Drosophila melanogaster: one gene and its partner. The protein of the gene in region 1 purifies or fractionates together with the protein of each later gene. This does not show direct contact. Each region holds a gene or a part of one and is shown on either strand. Other genes may lie near its edges. The genes, in order: twz and Doc3.

What was found.
Region 2: the proteins of twz (region 1) and Doc3 purify together in Drosophila melanogaster (affinity purification with mass spectrometry, with the first as the bait; one large-scale study listed by BioGRID). This does not show direct contact.

What each region holds. Positions count from the first base shown.
Region 1 is NT_033778.4:21,572,879-21,578,110, forward strand, and holds the start of twz (tiwaz), read right to left. Parts: upstream 3,158-5,232; 5' UTR 3,104-3,157; intron 1-3,103. UniProt on the Drosophila melanogaster protein: Functions with the transcription factor TfAP-2 to regulate octopamine neuronal signaling pathways that control behaviors such as male aggression, male mating, and the initiation of feeding.
Region 2 is NT_037436.4:9,003,383-9,007,922, reverse strand, and holds Doc3 (Dorsocross3), read right to left. Parts: upstream 2,728-4,540; 5' UTR 2,606-2,727; coding exon 2,515-2,605; intron 2,453-2,514; coding exon 2,287-2,452; intron 2,149-2,286; coding exon 1,881-2,148; intron 1,765-1,880; coding exon 1,627-1,764; intron 1,560-1,626; coding exon 948-1,559; 3' UTR 674-947; downstream 1-673.

The DNA of each region.
Region 1 (5,232 bases):
AAAAAAAAAAAATATATATATATATATAAGGAAGGGATTTTCTTTATATCTTTTTACACGATAGCCTTTAAACGTTTTAGCTTACTACTTTTTTTATATAAATTAGGGACACACACACGTAAATTGCGAGGAGCCAACTGCAAATAATACCGGCATTAAAGTGTTCAATAAAACATGTCAAATTTTAATTGTTTCGCGTGAGCAGTGGCATTTCAATTTTTCATCCTTTATCGCAGCAAATGCGTACGACGAGTGGAAACTGTTGCAATTTTATCGCTCATTTCACTCACTCAAATGGAATGGGAAATGCTGTGGGGGGTTGTTGGGGGGGGGCTTTTATTGTTTCAAGCGGCAAAATGGGGTAGCGGGCTTCTTTATTTTGACGTCGCTTTGCGTTTTTGCCATTTTAAATATTTTTTTAATCACAAGCTCACGCACACACACACATACACACGTACACAGAGAGAGAGGCAGAGTCGTACGTATTCAGTCACTCATACACAAGCTCATACATATGGCAATACCAATATTTCAAGCCAATTTGCTGCAGCTAGCCGCCAGCGGACTGCCAACAAAATAATTCGACAAAATGTGTGCGGCGCGCTTTATGCTTTATTGTTTGGATCGCTTGGGGGCAGTGCAGTGGGGTGGGCGGGCGAAGTGGGGGGTAGGTGTATATGGGTGCAAGGAGTCACATACATCAAGTACATATGTATATACATATATATAGATATATATAGAAAGATATATATTGTAGTAAAAGAGAATCCGCGGATCAGCTCAGAAATCAGCGTCGACATTTATACACTTCCTACGCGCTCGTTTGTAATTATTTGTTGATGGCTTTTTAAAGTAGCCCGCTCGCCACGCCCTCCCGCGGGCATACCGCCCACTCGCCTGCATATTTATTCAACGCTTGTGCATTTGCTTGTCAATCAATATCATACTGAATGCTGAATGGGAAAACACAAACATTTAAATGCCATCGCATATGCTGAGAATTTCCGCAGATTTTTTTACGCCACCCGCGACCGCCAACACCATCAGCATCAGCATCATCATTATTGTGATTTTTTATTATTACTATTATTTATGTGAGCACACACTCATCATCACAAGGCTGGGCAAATGGCAAATGTGTATGATGGGCTTTAAAATATACGAGTATGTATATATGTATATGTGTGGATGGGTGCGCACACATACAAGCGAACATATATTTTTTATTATTAACGATACCCAGCGAGGAAGCAACAAAAACATATATAGCATACCCATATATACACAAGCATATATATGAAAAGGCTCATAAAATTCACAATGTCTGGCCGCGGGGCTTTTACTTAATGATGCCATTTTTGCCGCCGCAGCCTGAAATTCGTGTTAAATTTTTAACGCACGACCGAACTGCAGCGGCAGTGGCAGCAAGCGCGACCACATATCAACCATCACAGCAATTCGGGCATCCATCCGTCCACCCATCCACCCATCCACCTATCAAAATATCCACCCATCCACCCATTCACCCATCAATTCATCCATATGTGGCACAACATTTACATTAACATTTGAATGGTAATCATTTTACAGGCAATGCGTGCCAAAATGAGGTGTTTGTTTAGCTTTTAAAGCTGTGTCCTTTTTATCACTCGCTGTCCTTTAAATTGATTAAATTATCAATAGAAGAATAACCACTGAATATCCTTTTGGTCCTTCATATTATGCCATTTATGCTAAGCTTACGTTTTTGGGAATTTGTTATATTCTAAAGGATTTGGCTTTGATTTAAAAATATGTTTCGATCGAAATGCCATAATGCAGTTGACATTATTTCAATTGTTTCAGTTTGACCCAAAATACTTTTAATGCACCATTTAATTCTAATGCAATACTTAAGTGCCTTAAAGCCCATACAAAAAGGTGGGTATAAAATGCATTAAACAAACTATAATCTGCCCAAAAGGAAAAATAAATATATATGATGGAGTGACTAAATAAAATATGGTTGTTTAACACAGGATTAATATTTATTCATGCAACGTATTTGGTAAATTGTGCTGAATTGTATTTGTTGCTTTATGTTTATTAGTTTGTTTACCAATTTCTTGGGGTCGGTGAAAGCTGGACTCTCGCAAATGAGAGTGCCTTTCAATTGAGGGGGCAAAAGTGGAACGGAAAGGGGCCTCTTCTGGAGTCGATTGCCGACATCCTTTTGTCATTAGCAATGCGTGACATTTGTCATTAACTGCATAATGATTCCTATGCAGTTTGGCCAACTTCTCCAACCAAACCCAACACACACACACACACACAGTCTAGCATATTGTACATAATAAGTGTGTGCGGATGTGAGGCATGTGTGTGTGTGTGTGCATAATTTTAATGATTTACAAACTAAGCCGGCGGCGTTTTTAGCTCGAAAACTGACAGTTGATACCCAGAGACAAGCAGAATGAGGGAAATATAACGCAAAAGAAGATATAGCCGCGAGTTATGAATGGGAGAGGACCAGTTCTTTATTTCCAGCTTCTTGGGGTGGAACGAGCGAACGGAACGGAAAGGATTGCTCGAACATGCAACTAAGATGGCCTAAGGACATTCAGAGGCAGAGGCACTGGCTGAGGCAGTGGCAGAGGTAATGCCGTAGAATGGGCAAAAATATGCAAGTTAAAAATAAGTTAAGTTTGAGTGGCTGGCGGCCCTGACGCAGCGTTTTGCATATAATGAGGGTACCAGCGCCCAGCTTTTTCACACTGCTTGTCACCTGCTGCCGGACTTTGTACATATGTATGTATGTGTATTTTTGTGCATTGGTATGTATGTAGATGAATTTTGGGGGACAAAAAAAAAACTGTGATTCTTTGGCCAGTTAGTTGGTAGCTGGTTGTGGGTAATTATAGGCAAACGGCACCGGCACTCGGTGTTGTTCTTAAATTATATGCCACTCATCTCTGTTTTCTGTTATCCTGCGCTGCAGCTGCCCCGCCCACTAATGTGGACACCCGGCCAGTTGTCCAAACACGTGCCGTGCAACAAGTTACCAGGCTGGGCGAAAACAAACGCAAAAAAGCATGTGGCAATAGCCAGAGACACTGTTATTCACCTGCTGCCGTTGTCGAAGGCAAAAGCAAACACCATCGGCACAAACACACTGAACCACCGTTGAGAAAAGACTGTTTTGGGGGGGCTCGTTGGGGTCTAAGTGCCGAGTGCCGTCGAGCGTGTTGCATGCAACATGGGGCACGACGCCAGCCGCAGCAGCAGCAGCAGCAGCAGCAGCAACATCTGGCGCAGCAGCGACGGCGGCAGCAGCAAAACGGGATGTTATCAGCCGCAACGTAAACACAACCACCACAACTAAGTATCCATATCCGCAGCAGGCGACTTCGATCGCCCGTCCAACTGGCCCGTTCCCTCCAACCCCCTTCCATGCACTGAAAGAAAAAACTATCTAAAAGCGTCTGTTTGTAACTGGCAGTCCATCTTGGACAGCAGTTGGTCTCAACTCTTTCAAATTTGCTCTCAGTGAAATACTTTAATTTCCTATCTAAGCAGCCGACTTTTGTTCCAGTGTGGTTGTTAGCCAAGCTAAGCTCGCGATGCGATGCCAATGTTCGACGCCGGAGCTCCAGCTTCGGTTCACCTTCCTCCTCGCCTTGCCCGCGGGCGTTCGCTTGTAATTATAATATTTCAACCCAAATGTGACCCGGGGCCATGCGCCAATGATGGATTTCAGCTCTCTGGTCCGCTCCGCTCCCCTTTCCCCTTCCTGTACCCAGCATATAATGTGGCATATATATATATATATATATATACATATTTATATATACACCGAAGAAAGACCGACACCCGAGATGCGGAGAGGTGCGTCGTGTGGTTCCGGGGTGGCTGATGTTGCTGCTGTTGCTGTGCAATTTGGTGCCGGCGGGCAAAGCGGATTGGCCTGCGGCCAGACATGTGAATAAAATTACATTCACTATTTTATATGCCACATGGCTTGTTGTATGTATGGCATTTATCGGTGTTTATATGTTTTGCCGGTGCCATGTGGAAAAATCCTATGTAGGTAGAAATAATTGAATTGGCACATCAGCTAAATCACTCTCGTCCATGTTTATATGTGTATGTCTTTATGGGTATGCCGGCCTGGAACCGGAGACGGCGGTCAGGGCAATAACAAGATTAGATCACTGGAAGAAGAGATTGCCCCCGGCCGGCAGGCAATGGAAAAGGGTTGAGCGAAAACTAAGCTGCCACTGACAATCTACAAAGCGAGGTCCGAATGGCTGCTACGAATAGTAAGTCCCCCTTCCGAGTCCATCGTTCGATTTAAGTTTTCCTCGGAACACACAGGCAGGTGAACATTAATCAAGCCAAACAACCAAATAACTTATGGCCCTGGCTAATAGAGACATTCGGCCAACTTCGAGGCCAGAAACAAGTCGGCCGAAGCTCTGGCCGAAACTATAAACCAGTGCTCACTTAGATAAACAAGATATGTGGGAGCAATTAGTGTTTATTAATGGTGATTTTCGAGATATTTGAATTTTTGGAAAATTGCATTTCAAATGGTAGAAAGAAAAGCAATTTGCATGAATACCTAGCATTCAAGACTTTAAATATTTGTATAATACTAATTAGCTATGAAAAACTTGTATATTTTTAACATATCCGATTGATTAAGATATACAACAAGTAAGCCTTTAATTCACTTACAAAGTGTGAGAGAATTCTATGCGGTAAGTGCGGCTTTTAAGTGCCACACAACGGTAAGTAGTAGCCCATAAATGCGTCCACTTTCATGTGTGTGTGCGTGTGTGTGTGTGGCGTGGTAATTAAATTGGCATTAATTAAACTTACGTCGCTTCTGTCGACGGCGCTGCTCAAGTGCCGCTCATTAAGCAATTAAGGGATAATTATCAACGCCGCGCCGTTGCCTTTTTGCAATTTTCATGCGCAAAGTGTTAAAATCACTTAATAGGCGGCCACATCCTGGCCTTCTGCTGTTGTTGTTGTCCTTACTTCCGCCGCCATTCGTGTGCGTGTGTGTGTGAGTGTGCAAGTGTGCGTAAGCGGTTGCATGTGTACGATGTTTGTGGACGCACGCGGCTGTTTGTTTAAGTGTAGCGTTAAACGCGGCCACTGACAAGCTGCGAATGCCGCACACCTGTAAGCAATGCCATCGCCGTGTGCCGTGTGTGTGGCATGTTGGGCCAACAACAACAGCCGCAG
Region 2 (4,540 bases), on another chromosome or scaffold:
CCTCGTTTCCGCTCGATAACATGGAGATGTGTGATGGGACACCCGGACAATTGCATGTATGTATGTATGTAAATGGCCACAGTTTCGCTAACAACTACAATGTGAAAACATCAATTACACGGCTGCAGTGGGTAGTGGGTCCTGGGGATTGGAGATTGTGGATTGGGTATTTGAATTGGACTGCTCGCCAGGTTTGCCGGTGATCGTGGCGCTCAATCAGCGCATTTAACTTGGCGCCGGCGCCAGCGTTTAAGATGCGGCTCGCTCTGATCTGCTGATAAGCCCATGACCATGTTGTTGCTGCCGATGTTGCTGCTTGCCGGTGGGTTGTTCTGCTCTTAGAAACCTTCTTTCTTTCACAAGAAGTTGGAGCAGGAGAGGGAGGGCGGGTGCGGGGCCTGGAGGAACTGGTTTTTATGCCTCGCATGCGGGAGATATGTATGAAACCGAAACCAAAGGCAAAACCACGCCGAATTATGTATTCGGCGAGGACAGGCAAATGGAAGGCATACAGCATGCACAAATTGCTCGAGGAACAGGATTCGAAGCGCAGTCATGGGAAGTTATTGGGGAATTTATTCAGATCTTCGAGCTGGAAGCTCTTCGCATCTGTCCCATCTAATTGCTTCACATTCCCCGCATTGTTTCATCCCAGAAATAGCTCCATCGAATTCATTGGATACGTACATATGTACGTACAATTTTATTTATGCCGCATTAAAATGCCAAAGACAATAAATCCATTACGAAATCATGTGAACAATTAAAATTGCATAATAAATACGATAAATACTGATGGCAAATACCTGGAAATCCTAATTAACTGCAAAATATCACAATTCAGCTTAGACACTACGCAGACGATGGCAACTAAACGCTAATTAAATGTACAAGGCACCGATTCCAAGCCAAACGGGAGCACATGCACCCGTCTGCACTTGATAGTTTTAAATGGACGAGCTGGTTCCTAATATGTCCGAGATGCTGAAGCTGCTGCGCTTCGGCTTGGCCATCGTCGGATCGCTGGATGACGAAGCAGGGGCAGTAGCAGTGGCTGGCACAGGCGGAGATGGAGGCGGAGGAGCAGCCGGTGCGGTTCCAACCACATCTACAAAGGTGTCGGCATCGGCATCTGCCTCTCGGTCGGCAGCAGATTCGCCGCTCGTCGAGCCCGCCGAGGAGGACGAGACAGAGGAGGCCGGCGATGGCGGTGTGTAAGCCCAACTTGGATAAGCACCACCGATGTGCCTGGCATACTCGATGGCCGGCGGCGGTGGCGCTGGCACATAGAAATTGGCCTCCAGAGCATCCAGCAGATAGTGACGCTGCATAGGAACACTGTGATGACTCTGGTGATGATGGTGCTGGGGAAATTCCTCCACGAGTCGCAACCGTTTGGCTAACGGCGATGTCACCGGGCTTCGATCCACCTGGTTTGCCTCGGGCTGCGTTGGCGGTGGCGAGTCATTGATCTTCCGTTTGCATCTCGACTGACCCGACTCACGGAATCCCTTGGCAAAGGGATTGTTGTCGATCTTCAGCTTGGTTATGCGGTCATTCTGCAAATGCAAACAAGAGGATTAGCTATCACGTGCCATATTTAGACTGCGATATAGCACCACGCACCTGATAAGCTGTTACGGCTATAAACTCCGTCTCCGGAAAGATAAAGGCCTGTTGGGGGGCCCAGGGAATCTGGCCGAGATCAGAGGTTCGTATGACGTGCAGACGCGGCTGATACTTGTGCATGCTGGCCAAGACGATCTGGAGAGACAGAAAAATACACGGTTAGTTTGAGGATATACAAAGATACATATATTTCTACTCAAGAACAAAAGATCAAATTTGTTTATGTAATATTCTTGACAAAGTTTACTTACATGACCATTGTTATCCAGCGTATTATTCGTCAATTTCACTTTGCTGAAGAGCAGAGCCTGGGATTGCCAGTGTTTTCCCGTGGCTGGACTCTCCGGATGCAGATACATGCGCTGCGGGCTCTGGGGCTCGGCTCCTCCGGCCGGCACCCACTGGGATCCAGAGAACTTATAGCGACAATCGCCAATGGGCACCATCTCGAGGAGCACGCAATAGCTGGCCTCCTCCTCCAGTCCACTGAGGGAAACCCGCATCGAAGGGAACATGCGTCTGAAAGGGATGGAGGCGTTGGTTAATGGATGTTAGTGACACGTTTGCGCCGTAAGATTTAAGAGTAAGCAGAAGGCTTATCAATGGGAGATAAGCTGATGGGGGCGAGCAAATAGTTGACTTTAAAATGGTACCAACCTGCCGCACTTGGTGATGATCATCTCGGTGCCGATGCTGTGGAACTGCTGCCAGAGTTCGTTATTCTCCAGCTTGGCCTCCACATCGCCGGGCAAAGTGGGTTGCGGCGGTGGCGGCGGTGGCATAAAGTGTCCGGCAAAGTTGGGTAGCAGGCCGCATAGGGGATCTGTGGTAGACACTTTGGGTTAGCCGACGGCAAATCACAAGCGCAGGGAGTGCTCCACTTACCGGGTAAACGTTGCATAATCTGCTGGCGGTATATCTCCTGGGCGATCTGCTGCTGCAATCGCAGATCGGCGATGTTGGGCAAGGTCAACATATTTGGGGTCTTCGTGGAGCTATGTGCGTAATCTATTATTTTTGTGATACGTTGATATTATTCCGTGGGCAATCGACGTCTGGAACACGAACTGATCGCTTTGCTGTCCAGATTGAGACTGTCTCTCGGAATCTCAGAGCGGGCACTACTTCAGTTCTGCCAGAATCCGGTCGGTTGGGTTCCTCCCGCTCACTTCGCTCTTCACTCTGCCGATCCGATCCGATCCGATCCCTATCCTCAGGTAGTTGCCTAACCTGTTCTCATGCTCAAGTGGCTTGCCACTCACCCGCTCTCTCGCTTCCACTTCCAGTGCGTCAGGCCATGTGTGTATGTTTATCTCTTTGCCATTGGTCGCTTATCAGCGAGCGTTACGCCGTCCCGCTTGCACTCGCTGCGCCAGATGGAACGCCATTTTCGTAACGCCGCGTGGAGCGGTTCTGGTGACCTCCTCTCACGGAACTGGGGGGCACGGCACCCATCTTGCTGCTGATAGCGTTACGTGGAAAGGGAACGGCAATGGGGAATGGGGCTTTTCTTCGTGGAATCGGGGGAGCGCTCTTTGAAGTCGCCTAATCGTTTGTAATATTTATGGAACTGGAAAACGTTTTGGATATGGGCCAACCAATAATGTTCGGCGAGATTACATTGTCCCAGAAATGGGAAGCTGTAATTTCGGAGGCACGAGAAAAACATTAGGCGTATAGAATTAGAGGAGGAATTTCCAAAATACTTTGTAGAAATAAATTTATTCATCGTTCTTTTCAATTTTGTTAATGTTAAAAACAATAAACAGATTGGAAAATCTTCGTTAACTCTCTGTTAACTATCAGTGTTTACAGTCTGAGTTGAATTGCCACAATTCAATAGATAAAAAACAAAAATATTATCAAACAAAGTACTTTTATAACATTGCATTATCATTATAACAAAAATATAAAAAAAAATATACGAGCATTTTGTTTTATGTCGGCATTTTACTATTCATCAATGTGATAATGAAGCCAAATCTAGGCAAATAAAATAAAGGTGTGAAAATCAAGTAATTTATATTTACTCTTTGTTAAAAGTGGTATTTATTAGACAAGAATATTTAAAGAGATACTATACAAAAAGATTTAAAATTTAGGTTAAGAATTTTAGTACTGCACTATTATTATTATTATTATTATTATTTTCCCACAGCTTATCCTTCAAATCGAATGACTTCTAAAGTATCTTCTAGGTTATTTAACATTTTGATCATCGGCATATCATCTTGAGACAGCACTTGAGTGTCAAACCTTTGATAACCAGTTCATAGATCTATCTATTCCACCGTCATGATCGGAACCCATATGTTCGGTTGCATTTAACTTATCTGCAATCTGCCGTGCATCTTGTAGATGCAGCGAAATATCGCCGCTACCGTTGCGAAGGAGAATCTCGAAAGAGATCCGCCCCGTGATAAGTCCGGCTAATCAGACCTTTAAATGGTACTTTGTACTCGATGCTGGGCCACAACAAATTGCGGCAGCCGGGAGCGGCCATCAAATCAAACTGGCGCCAAGACACTGTCGCCTTCGAGCCACTTGAGCATCGTAGTAGGACGGGATGGAAAAGGGATACGTCTAACGGATCAGCCACTTGTTGCCACTTGTCCTGCATTTCGGGTGCCGGTGCCGTTGGCAGGGCGACACTGGCGGCACAAACTCACAGGCGAGTCATAAAAATCATCACACTTTGTCCCCGAGCTGATGCCTCCTCAACGACGGGAACAACCGTGGAACAAAAGCGAGAGCCTCGATGATGCGAGGATGCCAGTTTCAGTTTTATGGCCTGGCTGTGCGACGACCGCCGACTGTTTGTGTGTCTCTCTGCAGTTTCCAAAATTATTGTTATGATTATTGCCTGTTTGTGGGTCTGCTCTACAATTTGTTTGCTATTGTCTGGTCTGCT